Linked DNA regions of Lytechinus pictus. The protein of the gene in region 1 interacts with the protein of each later gene in a biochemical or structural test. Links are inferred from orthologs where the notes say so. Each region holds a gene or a part of one and is shown on either strand. Other genes may lie near its edges.

Evidence for each region.
Region 2: the proteins of ras GTPase-activating-like protein IQGAP1 (region 1) and cdc42 homolog form a complex in vitro, tested with the Homo sapiens proteins (6 studies listed by BioGRID and IntAct). The link is inferred for Lytechinus pictus from reciprocal best matches to the Homo sapiens genes IQGAP1 and CDC42.

What each region holds. Positions count from the first base shown.
Region 1 is NC_087249.1:12,742,650-12,750,196, reverse strand, and holds the start of ras GTPase-activating-like protein IQGAP1, read left to right. Parts: upstream 1-4,456; 5' UTR 4,457-4,517; coding exon 4,518-4,541; intron 4,542-7,547. UniProt on the Homo sapiens protein: Plays a crucial role in regulating the dynamics and assembly of the actin cytoskeleton.
Region 2 is NC_087258.1:1,884,156-1,891,871, reverse strand, and holds the start of cdc42 homolog, read left to right. Parts: upstream 1-4,461; 5' UTR 4,462-4,570; intron 4,571-7,716. UniProt on the Homo sapiens protein: Plasma membrane-associated small GTPase which cycles between an active GTP-bound and an inactive GDP-bound state. In active state binds to a variety of effector proteins to regulate cellular responses. Involved in epithelial cell polarization processes.

The DNA of each region.
Region 1 (7,547 bases):
TTTTTTTCATTTCGGGGGGGGGGGGGGGGGGGGGGGGCTACCCTTCACAACCTACTGAATAAATTTACAGCATTGGAAAGCTATGACATTGCATTGAATGGAAATTTTCCAGGGCTCTTTTGAGCATTCGGGGGGGGGGGGGGGACTGCCCTGAGCCCCCGCATATTTTTATTCCCTGGTGCCAATTCCTTGGGTGTACAATAAATTCTGATGGTGTGAATTGAGGGCATATACCGAACCACACCAGACATATCATCAGCCATGGCTAGTACTTGTGGTCATTGTTAATTGTTTTTATCTCTCGCTCTAATTTGAAAGGGCAGTGGATAGACCAGAGGGATTAGCTTTTACAAGTGCAGTGAACTTGAGGAAGATTCATTTCATAGATCTATGTGGAGAATCAAAGAGAATGTTTGTTTGAAACATGGATAAGCTTACATGAGATTAACAAACATAGGCAGATAACCTTTATTTCATTCAGCAGTGACAAGTGTTAATTTTGTTCAAAACTTAATTTTATACTATATTTGTAGGTCTTTATGAAAAGAAACATGCGCCCTTTAATGGAGTAATTTTTCATGGAGACCCAATTTTGTTTCTATATGAGGCTGCCCTTACCATGAAATAATGTGATGCCTTCATGATGGACAGACCTGCTTTATAAATGCCTTCTCTTCTGACAAGTTCATGTACATTACCAAAATAAAGGCATTCAGATGAGGTTTTGAATTTTGATCTACCCTTTGGTGATCAATTGCTAGGCTCCACACCAACTTTTTTTTCTTGGTGACCCAATCAATTTCATATTTTTGATGACCCGCAAAGCAAATTTGGTGGCCCTAAACAATAGAAAACAGTACAATTTAGCAAAACTTTGGTAGCCAAAAACTTTGGGCCACCAATTGTGGGCTTTTACAGAAGTTTGGTGGCCCGTCTCTCATTTTTGGTTGCGCCGGGCCACTGCTACATGTAATGTCGAGCCCTGTGACTATTATTTGGTGCAATGATAATAATGATAATAATAATATGTCCATTTATATTGCACATTTATTGTATGCATATACTCAGCTGTGCTTTGATACTTGATATCATATTATTACCCCGGCCTTAGCTGAGAAGCCATTTCGACACTAAAGTGTCAAGGAATAAATCCTACCGAGAACTCATTCACCTTGCCTGGGTCGAGTGCAGCACAATGTGGGTAAATTTCTTGCTGAAGGAAAACACGCCATGGCTGGAATACGAACCCACATGCCTCTGATTGAAAGACGAGAGTCATAACCACTAGACGACGACACCCCCACTTAAATAATTTCTTTCGTTCAGTTTTTCTTGGCAAGGCATAAATTAAATTTTTATACAATCATGGGGTGTAAACCACCCCCCTCCCCGCTACTCGTGCAAGTTTCCCTGGTGATTGTGTGAAAGGAATCTACATGTATTTCATAAATTTGGAGAATAGAGAAGAACACACCAGCGCATAATACAGGAACAAACCAGAAATGGAAAGTCTTATCTGATTTGCAAGTGATTCCTGAGAAAGTTGAACACACCTGACTTCTCAAGTCAGTTACCATGCAACAAACTCACTTCCTGTTGATTCTTTGTCTTCCGCCGAAATGGATGAAAATAGATGTTTCCATGGCAACGGACTACAGAGAAGGTAGTTTGCGTCTTGGTGATTGCACTCCGAGGAGCTGCTTCAGACACTTTCCTTGTTGCCCCATGTGTCCTTTAGGGAGATATGATCTTTGATCACAGGCAAACCGAAGCATCACAACTCTATAACTAACAAATAAATCATGCCTGTTTCAAAATGGTTTTTTAATTCATGCTCTTTTTTTTTAAAGCTCAGCATTTACATGTAGACTAAAAATATATTTGTCACGTTCATTTAGCGCTATTCTCATCCTATATTAAATACAAGCTGGGTGACAAACCGCTGTATGAAATTTTTGGGAAAAGCAATGCCTCGTTTTAATGACCAGATGATCTGTCAAGTGATGTCATGTTCAAATCCCTGGTTTTCATTGTTGGAAATAATGATGGTGATGAAGATGACAATAGTAATAATTAAAATGATGATGATGATAATTCATGATAATGTGAAAATGATAATAATGATAATGATAATAGTAGTAATAATAATATTAATAATAATGATGATAATAATAATGATAATAACAATAATAATAATAATTAATAATAATATTGATAATAATAATAACAACAATAATAATAATAATTAATAATAATGGTAGCAACAACAACAACAATAATGATAATAATGATGAGGAAGGGAGCCTGAGCCAAAAAAAGGGAGAATTATGTAACCTCATTAAAAAGCTTGCCAATTTGGGACTTGTTGGTTTTTTTCCCCAATATTAAAATATATAAAAAAGCAGGTTGTTTTGTTTGTCAATTAAGTTTATTGATATTGTTGGAGGATTATCTTCTACTGCTCGGTCACTCGTTACCCCTCGTTCCCTGTACTTCCCAAAGAGATCTCTAAATATAGTATTTAGTCCCCCAAGGCTGTAAGATTCCATTTTATCAGAAACAATCAGGATCAATTTAGGACTGTTGGATGTCGATAACAAACAAAAGTGGAAGCTGATGCGGCTTTCCTTTGCTCCCAAAGGTTAGAATACTTTTCGGTCCATGGGCCGACGCTTTTTAAATGTTGTTCAGTTGTATAAATAGATGAGATGAAGTTGCATGCTTATTTCTCCTTTGTTATATTTTCCATGACAGTTAAAAGAAATACTCAACATAAAAAATAAAAAGGATGGGAACAGTTGAGAAAAATATATATACCTTGAAACGCATGTAAAGAACTAATTCCACCAGAAGAAAAAGAATAGGTCAAGGATCCTGTGACATATAAATATTAAGCGATTGATCTTGTGGCAGATTTTTGTGATTGATCGTGCACAATAATCAATGCAATAAAACATGGAAATCAGTCCCTGATCAACCGGTATTATTATGGGACCTGGATGGGTGTTTCATGAAGCTGTTGGCAAGTTACGAGAGACTTTTCGTATGACTGGCGAACCTTTCTTACGCTCTAAATATCACCAATGAACATTTAATGGTGAATATCATTTACCCGAAAGCAAGGATCCCCAGTTGTTCTTAAAGTCACTCTCAAGTTACGACCAGCTCTATGAAAGAGCCCCCAGGGCCCCGTCTTACAAAGAGTTACGATTGATCCGATCAATCACAACTATGGACAGCCAGCAAAGTCAACCTATAAAATGCATGTTTGTTTTAAAAAATGGCTAGATATGAATGTGTATCCATAAATTCATTGATTTCTTGATGATTTGGTGTGTTCTCTTTTGTTTACAAAAGACATTGTGCAAATTTCTTGTAGAAAAATTATGGCCCTCATGGATTTCCATAGAGTTACGATTGATTGGATCAATCATAACTGTTTGTGTTTGGTCTATTTCTAGTTTGTCTACAACCAGGTGGGTCTTTCATGAAGCTGTTCGTATGCTAACGAGTGACTTTACGTACAACTGGTGACCCTTTCTTGTGGTAAATGAAATACAGCAGATTTTCATAGGCGTTAATGTAGTTCCTAAGAAAGGATCATCAGTCATTCTCAAAGTCGTTCGTAAACTTATGAACAGTTTAAGAAACCCACACCTGAGGCCCGTAACACAAAACTTGGCAATGATCGTAGAACATTTTTCTACGATTGATTGCGTTGACTACAATGTACAATCAATCGTGAAAATCAAGCGTACGATTATTCACTAATCTTTGTGTTACGGGACCCAGGTCTATACAGCACTCTTTTATTAGGTATTAGTATTATGTGTTCAGAACACAAGTAAGAGATAATAATTTCTAGGATTTTATCTGATAGAAGCATATACAATAATTGATATATATATTTTTTCATTACTACCAAGAAGGCCATATCGTCCTGTCGGTGCAAGAACGCCCTTAGCAAAACATCTCCACACACCCCATTGGTGCAGGATCGCCCTTACGCAATGCCCTAATGCTTGCTACTCAGGGCGTTTTTGCGCGCATGCGATGTACAAAAGTATGGTGTTAATGGTGTTCTTGCACCGACATGACAGTATTTGAATGGAATTCAAGTGTTTTTTTCTGCTGCGGATGTCTATAGAGTGTTTTTTTTTCTTTCACAATCTAAAAAAAAAAGAATATTATTATGCCTTGAAAGTCAATGATCAGGGGAGCGTTTCATGAAAGGACTTGTTAGATTTTTTATCCGACAAGTACTGTTTTATCCGACAGTAACTATGGTAACAGTGCCTCTCAGCCAATCATTATCAAGGAAAGTTGTCAGACCTGACAACTTTTCGGAAGAAAATGTTTATGAAACGCTCCCCGGATAATGTTCCGCTTGTTCCTTTTTCACATGAATTTTCCTATATGTTTACACCTTTTTGTAAGGTTTTTAAATATTTTTATTTTTTTAGGCCAAAGGACTTCATTTTAGACACACGGATAACACAGTGCAGTGGATCAGAGCGATGGAGGTTGTTGGATTACCATCGGTAAATATTTTTAATTCATTTATTATAAAGAGTGAGTAGATTACAAATACTTTCATTTTTCAAGATATATTATTTGATAAAATATTGATGATGATGATGAAAATGATGATGATGATGATGATGATGAAGACGACGATGGTGATGATGATGATGATGAAAATGATGATGATGATGATGATGATGATGAAGATGATGATGATGATGATGATAGTGGTGATGATGGTGATAATGATGGTGATGATGGTGGTTATGATGATGATGATGGTGATGATGAATTGATGATGATGATGGTGATGGTGATTCTGATGCTGATGATGGGGATGGTGATGATGATGGTGATGATGATGATGATGATGATGATGGTGATGATGGTGATAATGGCCACTTGTATATCGCATGTATTCATAATTGGAAGTACATGACACTCAGTTATTACTATTTTGATATTCCCAATTCAATTCAAATAATAAAAAATGAAATACAAGATTAACATTTGAAATAAAACATTAACAAATAAGCAGCTAAGAAGCAGAACAATATAATTCAATCTTGTGCTTGAAAAGGCAAGACATGGCTTTTATTCATGATACCAAGATTATACGCATCCATTGTTGTTAATGATATGTATATGTTTATATCTGTAAAGTGCAGTGTCTTTATCTTTCTGTCGTTACATGGAGAATAACAAATTTTTGCTCTCAAGTGTGCCATTGTTATACGATTCACTTTACTCTGAATGGCATTTCCTTGGTTAAAGAAGTATGCTATTATTATATCCTGCTACATAATAGTCTTCAAGTGTTAATGATCTGAGGTCTAATCGTTTGGGAAAAATAATCAGTTATTAGAAATTCGATGAAGATAATGGTTAAGTTGTTCTTAAATTAGAAATTAATCTAATTCCCAGTGCTGGTTTTTAATTTGAGAAGTTTCAAAACGAAAACAAATACTTGATCACGAATGCACTTTATAATTTATCTGTTCATAGTAAGGAGAGTGCTTTTAAAAAGGGGAACTACATTCAGATTAGGAAAAAATAAATTCAGTTGATGGATGTGTGAGGTACATTGTAATTAGTTTTGGAGAAAGAGGTTACAACTAAACTTTGCATTACTATTGAAAAGTAGACATGGAAGTATTGAAATTTGATATTTTTAAAATAATGTATAAATAAGAAATTTTTGAACTGCGTATCCGGGGGTTGCAAGTTTTGTCTAAAAAACTAGGTAAGACTTGAAAGAAAAAAGTCATGAATCAATTAATTGCAAGCTTTTCACTATGGATTGATCATAAAAATTTTGGGGAATTTAGCCCCCCCCCCCCTCGGGGGTTCAGCTTGTTTGAGCATGGACCTACAATAGGTCCATGGTTTGAGTGAGTAGAATAACTTGCTCCTCCCTACTTTTTTCATTGACTCTGATCAACGCTGTAAATTTGAACTTCTCCTTTGAAGTCTGGGTTTTTGGCAGTGAGCCATTGCCTATTTAATTGCATTTCAGTCTCAACATTCAAACTGGGTTGTAAAAAATTAGTCCGTGAATAAATCACACCCTTACCTGTAATGCTGGGTGTACCTCAGACAAACTAATGCCATATCTGTTGGGGTACATTTATTCTAATCATGATATTATGGCAGATCATACATAGTTGATAATGACCTTCGTAGCTCTTTTGATAGTGTTGAACATTTAAACTGGAACATTAAGAAATGAGGGGGGCCCTTTTGTGCAGTGGGCTTGTTTATGAGGATTTTTTTATAGTCCTTTTCTGGCCATTTTGGTAAGTAAAGTAATCTCAGGCCCCAAGTGTTTTTTTTTTAATAAAGTTGGAAGATGTACATTTCGCATGGTCCATATTCCTGGATTGAACCCTCTACTTTAGGCTACGGTCACACCCCCTCAAATTAGCCTGTTCGGTGAGTTTTTAGCCAATTTCGCCTGGGCACAGAGCGGCGGCCGTCTGGGCACCACTGGTTTTTTTTGGCATCGCTCAGTCGTCGCTAAAGATTATTAAGCACGGAGTTAAAATTCTGGAGGCACCTGTTCTTTTATCACTCACTGCCTTGAATACGCTCGGTGCGCGGGTGGTCGCTGTCTGGGTGCCAACGTAATCGAGCGGTCAACATCGAATGATTTAGGCATTGAACTTGTTGGATCAAAGACTGTTGAAGGTCACTGGCTGGTCTCCGGCCACTGGCCGCTCAGAGATCGGTCGATGATCTCGCGGCGAATTCAAGATCGGCTGGGCGATTACTTAAAAATAGGCCGGTGGCCGGTGGGAGACTACCCGGGAATCAGTGGGTCATCAGCTGATCACTGCTTGGACACCAAACAGAAAAGTTCCCCTGATTTGACCCACATTTGGCCTTGAGTATATAATAGGTATTAACCTACAGCTCGCTAGACTTCTACAAATATCTTGTCTAGATTCCAGCGGTGCCTGAGCAGGCTACTCATTGTTGTGACTGAAGCCTTGGCATAATTATTTTCCATCAATAAATGAGGGAAAATATATAATTTGTAAATTCATAGTAATGTTTACATTTGTACTAGTTTAGTGAGGAGCTTACAAGTACAATATTTTACCAGTATTGATTTGATGAAGCAAATTTTCTACTAATATTTAGTATTTATTTTAATTCGGGTTTGATCAAAAGTTTATTGACTCATACACTCTAAATTCCAAGGATTTAAAAATAAATCTGGATCAGCTGTGAATAGTGATCGGCCAAATATTAGATCTATTTTTAAATCTTGTGGATTTGAATATAGCTAATAGATTTTAATTTCAATGTTTTGAGATTTAAAAGTAAATCCTTAACAGCAAAAGGAATAGATGAGGGCGACGGGCGATTTTGTCCTCATAACTGCTGTAATCGCCCCTAAAATTCCCTTAAAAATGCTTTGGGGCGACCATTCTTTCTAGAGTCACCCCGCGACCTTTCACAAACAATATTCAAACTTATTTAGAAAATCTAATTCTAACTATGGCATTATAATATTTGCT
Region 2 (7,716 bases), on another chromosome or scaffold:
AAGCTCATTTCTATGACACTATAGTTTATATACAGGCCTTGACATATGCCATGGTGGTCAATGCATGGATATATGCAGTGTACATGTAGTATGTACAGTGCATTGTACACCGTATAGCCCCTATGGATAAATGACATTTTCTTTTATTTGATGAGATATATTTCACAAATATCCTTAAAAACCCAAAATGGAGGAATAAAAGCAATATAGCTATATGAAGCTGCTTGCTATTGTTGACCTCCTACCATCTAATATCCCAGAACCCCAGGATGATAAAACCCACTTTTTGGCTGAAAAAAGGCTACAAAAATGGGAAAATTTAGGTATAATTACCTTTTAACTCTACAAATAATGGTTTAAAAGTACTTATTATAGGAAAAACAAATTGCCTGCCCCCCAAAACATATGAATAGACACCAAAACCAGAGAAATTGACCACCAAATAAAAAAGTTGTGGCCAAAACTGTGATTTTGGGGGGTTTTGGCGGCCATTTTGGATTTTGGCCCGGCACACTTTTTTCTCGGACCCGAGACAAAAAATATTGTCATTTCATGTTGAGATAAGGTAAAAGGAACACAAAAAAACTGTTCCCACAGTAAAACCAAAAATCACCCATTTATAGCCCACTCCTATAATATTATTCATTCAATCTTCCTCAAATTTTCAACAATATGTTTCTTTGATTTTTCTCTTTGATATGGATTCAGCTGGTTTCAAGGGTTTCATTCTCCTTTAAATACACGCAGCTGCTGCCTCCCTAGCCAGGCGGCTTCTAGAGAGTAAAAATCATTTTCTAACGTAAGGTTACTCTCATACGAAGCCAGGCAGTCCTCCCCATTCATCTGCGTGTACCGTAAGGGCACTAGTATTCAACCCGTTTGGAGAGTTTCCTCAAATATATAGAAATATAGAATTTACCTGAATTTCAGACCCGTCTTATTTCCAAGAGCAAATGCTGGTTATTCTTTTTCCGTTATTTTTTTCTTCAACCAGTTGACTGTGTGCGCGGGCGATCGAATTATAGTCGGCGACGGATTTTGGTACTAGTAAGTAGTATTCAACCCGTCGGCACTAGTATTCAACCTAGCGATGAAAGATGGCCCTGTCTCTCAATCTGCCCTTGTCCCATCCGACTATGGACTAGACCATTTGAGATGAGACCAAACAGGGAATTAATCAAAGCCAGAGATTTACATAGATCTAGATCTAATTTAGCAATCTAAACCCTTTTGAGATTTGCTATCAATCCTCACTAGGTTGAATACTAGTACCATTCAGTGCAAAAGGCCATCGCCGCATAATTCGATCCTCCGCGCATACAGTCGACAGATTGACAAAGAAAATATCGACAACAGATTACTCTGGAAATAACAAAGGTGTGAAATTAAGATAAATTCCCTATTTCTAAATATTTTGGGGAATATGTCAAAATCTTTGAATTATGCCAGGTTGAATACTTGTTTCTTGTTTCTTATTGTACTTCCCCAACGTTACGCGACGCTCGCATCCGTAACGTTGGGGAAGTACAATAAGAAACAAGATGGCGGCGTAAACATCGGGCAAGTCTCTTCCGTCTTTTCACAATATTTTTTCATTTTTTTGATGAATTCTTGTTTTAAAAATAACAACGAGAGCGTAGAAATGTCGGAAATGAAGTTTTATCCCATTTACATGATTTAGAGCTAGATCTTTTAGAAGGAAAGTAGAAATCTCGGGGGCGAAAGTTTCAGGGTTTTTTGCGGTACACGCAGATGAATGGGGAGGGCTGCCTGGCTTCGTATGAGAGTAACCTTACGTTAGTAAATGATTTTTATTCTCTAGAAGCCGCCTGGCTATAGAGTACCGAAGCGATGACGTCAGTTGCCATGGTGTCATGGCGGCCTGGTTCTAAACAAATGAACCCAGAATGAGTGTCATGGCGGCCTGGTTCTAAACAAATGAACCCAGAATGAAAGCGTGCGTTTGTCATAGGAGAAAATGGCTGCTATCGGAATGATCGCTTGCAATCTATTTTTCAGAGGAGCCAAAATGTGTACAGACGATAGTCGGGTGCGATTCTGTTTAGAACCAGCCCGCCATGACACCATGTCAACTGACGTCACACTTCGGTACTCTATAGCCTCCCCAACAAACGGCGGTAGCTGCAGTGCAGGTTATCTAGGGTGTACAGACAGTATTCACTGCAGCGTCAGTGCAAATTATAGGCGGTATTTTTACGGAAATGAAACCGATCGATGGCAAAAACTGTTGGATGATTTACCTGCTAAAATGATTGAGGTATACATCGAGCATACCTCAAAAGAAAGAGAATGACTCGATGAAACTACAGTACCAGTCACAATTCTTTGACCCACTGTTACCTGGTTTTACAATTAGATCAAAGCGACGGGTATCGTAGCTTCGCAATGTCAGCCATTGTTATACTGACTGTAGGCTCAAACATGATATGATAGATGGCGCTGTCCGTATTGAGTCCTAGCGTTAGCTAGCGAGACATGCATTGTTTTTCCCGGGAAACAAAAGAGAACGTGATGAATTGTTTGCGCTGCGCCCTGATTTACTGGAAAGTTATTTTGCCTAAGTTCTGAAAAATAATGCTGTTGTAGGTAGACTATATTGGAAAATATATGTAATCAAAGTGAGTTTTTGTATAGGATTGAGTTTAGATTGAAATCTCATTTCCTCACGTACTAGATTGAATTGAAAAAAAAGAAATCTCCGGATAATAGAGAGATCCGGATAAGGAGAGGCAGGATAAGAGAGGTCGGACTGTGTAGCACTTGTCTTAGTCTTACTCTTTAGAGTCTTAGTCTTACTATTTTTGTCTCACCTGCATAGCAGAGTGAGACTATAGGCGCCGCTTTTCCGACGGCGGCGGCGGCGGCGGCGGCGTCAACACCAAATCTTAACCTGAGGTTAAGTTTTTGAAATGACAGCATAACTTAGAAAGTATATGGACCTAGTTCATGAAACTTGGCCATAAGGTTAATCAAGTATTACTGAACATCCTGCCTGAGTTTCATGTCACATGACCAAGGTCAAAGGTCATTTAGGGTCAATGAACTTAGACCATGTTGGGGGAATCAACATCAAAATCTTAACCTAAGGTTAAGTTTTTGAAATGTCATCATAACTTAGAAAATATATGGACCTAGTTCATGAAACTTATACATAAGGTTAATCAAGTATCACTGAACATCCTGCATGAGTTTCACATCACATGACCAAGGTCAAAGGTCATTTAGGGTCAATGAACTTTGGCCGAATTGGGGGTATCTGTTGAATTACCATCATAACTTTGAAAGTTTATGGAGCTGATTCATGAAACTTGGACATAATAGTAATCAAGTATTACTGAACATCCTGTGCAAGTTTCAGGTCACATGATCAAGGTCAAAGGTCATTTAGGGTCAATGAACTTTGGCCAAATTGGGGTATTTGTTGAATTACAGCCATAAATTTGAAAGTGTGTTGGTCTAGTTCATAAAACTTGGACATAATAGTAATCAAGTATCACTGAACATCCTGTGCGAGTTTTAGGTCACATGATCAAGGTCAAAGGTCATGTAAGGTCAAAGAACTTTGGCCACGTTGGGGGTATTTGTTGAATTGCCATCATATCTCTATAAGTGTATTGGTCTAGTTCATAAAACGTGGAAATAAGAGTAACCAAGTATCACTGAACATCTTGTGCGAGTTATAGTAGTTTTCAAAATCAGCACTGCTGCTATATTGAATCGCGTGATGCAGGTGAGACGGCCAGAGGCATTCCACTTGTTAGTTCTTACTCTCGTCTACGATCTTACTCTTAGGCTTAGCCCACCCTGGCCATGGGTGCTTTACAAGAAAATTGAAGGCACAGCGCATACAAAATTGCAACAATTGCATGGCAATCCCGCGAATTTAAAAAGAGGTTTTATAAAATCAAGTCCTTCTACAAAACTTACCGAACGATGTGAAGTCAATTCCCCAAATCATGCATATCTCTCAAATAGCGTCATTTAATCGCTGATTTCTCTTTTCATTGATAAAATATGGATCCGTCTTTTAATTTCCAAAACTTTTCATCCAATTAGCTAAAGAGGGCGCGCGATTTATCTTCATATCAAAGACACTAGATTGAAAGGACTAGCCACAAAAACTATTTTACACGTAAATCGATGCAAAGCGTTACGCGAAGTCGGCAAAGTGTCCAATCTTTTTATAGTAAAGACTTTGGTGGAAAGTTCGTTGACAAACGAACAGTAGCACTGCTGGCTTCGTTCAAGGCACATAGAATTGTCTATTTTTTTGTTTTATTTGTCATCGCTTTGAATGTTTCAAAAAGTATTATCGTCAGCAAAAATAATCTAAAAAGTATGTTTTTAAGTTATTGCATTTATTGGTGTCTACATTTTATCAAACAATCATGGGAATATCGCATACATGTACAATGAATCTAGAATCTTGACTTTTTCTAGTTATAAAATACAGACGAGCTGAATTAAGGTTGTGAATTGTATTAGCGCCACCAATGACCTTCCTCTCATTTCCGTGGAAGAGACATGCGAAGCCACTTTCCTGGCCGAGGTAAGCGATTTTGCTCTTTTATGTGCTATGATATAAAAATTCTAAATGGAACGCCCATCACCAGAAAAACCCCTGGTGAGTAGCGGAATGAGTTTCGGATAACATTAAATCCATTATGAAGCGGTGTTAACTGACAACTAAAATATCCACGCGTAGACACGTTTGTAGTGCAAGGTTACATGTAGTATAGCATACTAACCTCGAGGGCTGTTATCGTTGAGAAAATTCTCTGTCGATATCATGCTTAAAGTATCTTAACGATATCGACAAAAGAACATAATCAATACGCATTTTTATGCATTATAGCGATGTCACATACTCGCGTTGGCCAAAATTTGTATCTGCCACTGTACCAATAATGCTTTGAAATACGCGTTCATCGGATGTAAATGGCTACATGGCATCTTTAACAATAGCAAAAATACATCCTCACCTTTCACGTTATTGGCATTTTTTTAGGGTTGGATGAAGTTTTATCGATAATTTTGGGGCTTTTTGGACATCGTTCTGAGCAGTCAACATCTTTTGATTATCAGCCATTTTGATATCGTGCTGTACATGTTCAAACATAGAGGGCAGCAACACACAGCTCGGCTGTCCTACGTTAGTTGAGCTTGCGCTTGTGATGTTTTCGATTCGATCGAATAGAGTCGAGTGCAGTCACGATGTTTGGATTCGCTATAATAATAACAAAGTGGGGTGAGATCGTGTTTTGTGGCTAGTATTTTTGTGAGATTTTTGAGTAATTTCTGTTGCTGTTCTGTGCAGTTTGATGAAAAATATGTTTTCCGTTTGAAACGCCACTTTCAAAGGGCCATTTCCGTGAATTCCGTGAAATCGTGGAAAATCACTGTGTCCCTACATAATTGCGGGTATTATTGATCAAGAGAGAAAGGTTATTGATATCGCTAAAAGCCCTACTAACCTCACAATACGTGTGAGTGGTCTTTTAGCCTAACTTTACTCTTTAATAGCAGTTGTCACTTGTTCTGACCGAGTTCTGAATGAACTGCTCAGTTCCCCCTTTTGATAGATGATAAAGGGCATAAGAATGAAAACAAAATATGCAACAATGAATTCTGGACTATACCAACAATCAGCTTACCAATACCAGTACACCTACATGTAGGGACAGTGATTTTCCGTTTTACCGGTACATACATGTAAAACGGAAATTCTGTTGGTTCTTGTACTTTTCATGTAAAAATTCATGGAATTCACCTTTGCAAAATGGAATTCAGGTTTTTGCTGTGTGCATTTTCAGTGACAAAACAGAATTTCCATTTTTAGATCAAGTTGAAACAGAATAACAGATTTTCAGAAATGGAAAAGACCATTTTTTTAAACGGAAAATCACTGTCTCTACATGTATACACCTACGGCCGTTACACGGCAAAACGATGTACATGTATCTGCAAAATGCACATTCTTAGAAAAATCACTTTGAAGTTACAGCTTTTGTCTTCAAAAGAAAATTTCCCAGTGTTGAATTTAGTTAGATAATTTAGATTTATAAGAATGTCATTGAATTCATCTCCCTTAATAGTTTTTATAACATTTAACTTTTGTTTTTCATCAAAATAACTTTTTTTATGTAGATACACCATCATGTAGCCAAGATATTCAACTGTCCACATTAGTCCTACGTTTATGGCAAAATGATATATCTGCAGATACATGTACATCATACAATTCCTACAGCGATATCATGGCAAAAAGGTGTATCTGCACATACATGTACATCGATTAGTTTCTATGGTTGAATCATGGCAAAGTGATGTATTTGCAGATCAAAAATACATCATTTTGTGTTTAAGGTCAAATTCAATTTAGCCATGAAACAAGCCTTTAAAACTTTAAAGATATGACAACTGGTAAAAGGGTGTAATTTGCACATACACACTTTTACCATAAACTAGTATCTGACTTTTGTTGGCACAATTTGTGGAAAAAGATGTACAGTAGGTTGCAGATACATGTACACTGTTTTGCCATAAACTAGTCTCTGAAATTCGTGGCACACAGTTTGTATGTTGTGCAGATACATCTTTTTGCCATCAACTAGTCTATGAAGTTCGTGGTTCACCGATTATGGTAAAAATATATGTTGCAGATACATCCTTTTGCCATATTTCACGAAGCTGGGTGCGCTCACTCATTTGATGGAAGAAAAGTGTAACTAACAGATACATCTTTTTACCAAAGATCATTGCGCTCTTCTGCGGCACTTTTGGAGTGTATCTGTAAGATACATCCTTTTACCATCAAACGAGTAGGCAAATTTGAAAAAAGTACTGCAGATAGCCCAAGCTACAAATGTATCTTGAAAACTAAAATACCTGTAATTATGAGAGTAAGATAAATGAAAAGAGCTCCCTGAAAAACCCCACCAAATGTCAAAACCTGAAAAAGTCAAAATATTCAGATACCGGTACATCGTTTTGCCATGTGACGGCCGCCTAGCCAGGAGGCTCCTAGAGAGTAAAAATCATTTAGAACTACATGTACTAACGTACATGTATGCTTACTCTCCATGGAGGCAGGGAATGCGTTCCCATTCATGTGTGTGTACCGCGAAAAAAACTGAAATTTTTCCCAGAGATTTCTACTTTCCTTCGAAAAGATCTAGCCCTTAATCATGTAAATGGGATACAACTTCAATTTCCGACATTTCTACGATATTGATTTCATTTTTAAACAAGAATTCATTAAAAAAACGAGAAAATTATTATGAAAAGACGGGGAATACTTGCCACCGTGTTTACGTCGCCATCTTGTTTTCTTTGTTCTTCGCCAAGACTACAGCATGCATATCGCCTTTATTTCAGTGCTTTAAAAATGACAACTAGAGGAAATACAATCAAGAAAATTTCGCACTTGCTATCCCAAATATGAAAATTATATACAGTACTTGTGGAAATGGAGAATTCTCCATAGAGACACTCTCTTGTATTCTACCGTTAAGGTCAGAGATTGCTGATATCTGTAGAAATGACTGAAGACACTTCCTACATATACTGTACATCACTAATCACAACCTGCCAAAACCTTCTCGGCAACTAGATACAACCCATACATGTACATGTAGGCTACATGTATGGGTTGTTAATAGACATTTTGTTGAGAAGGTTTTGGCGAATTGTGTG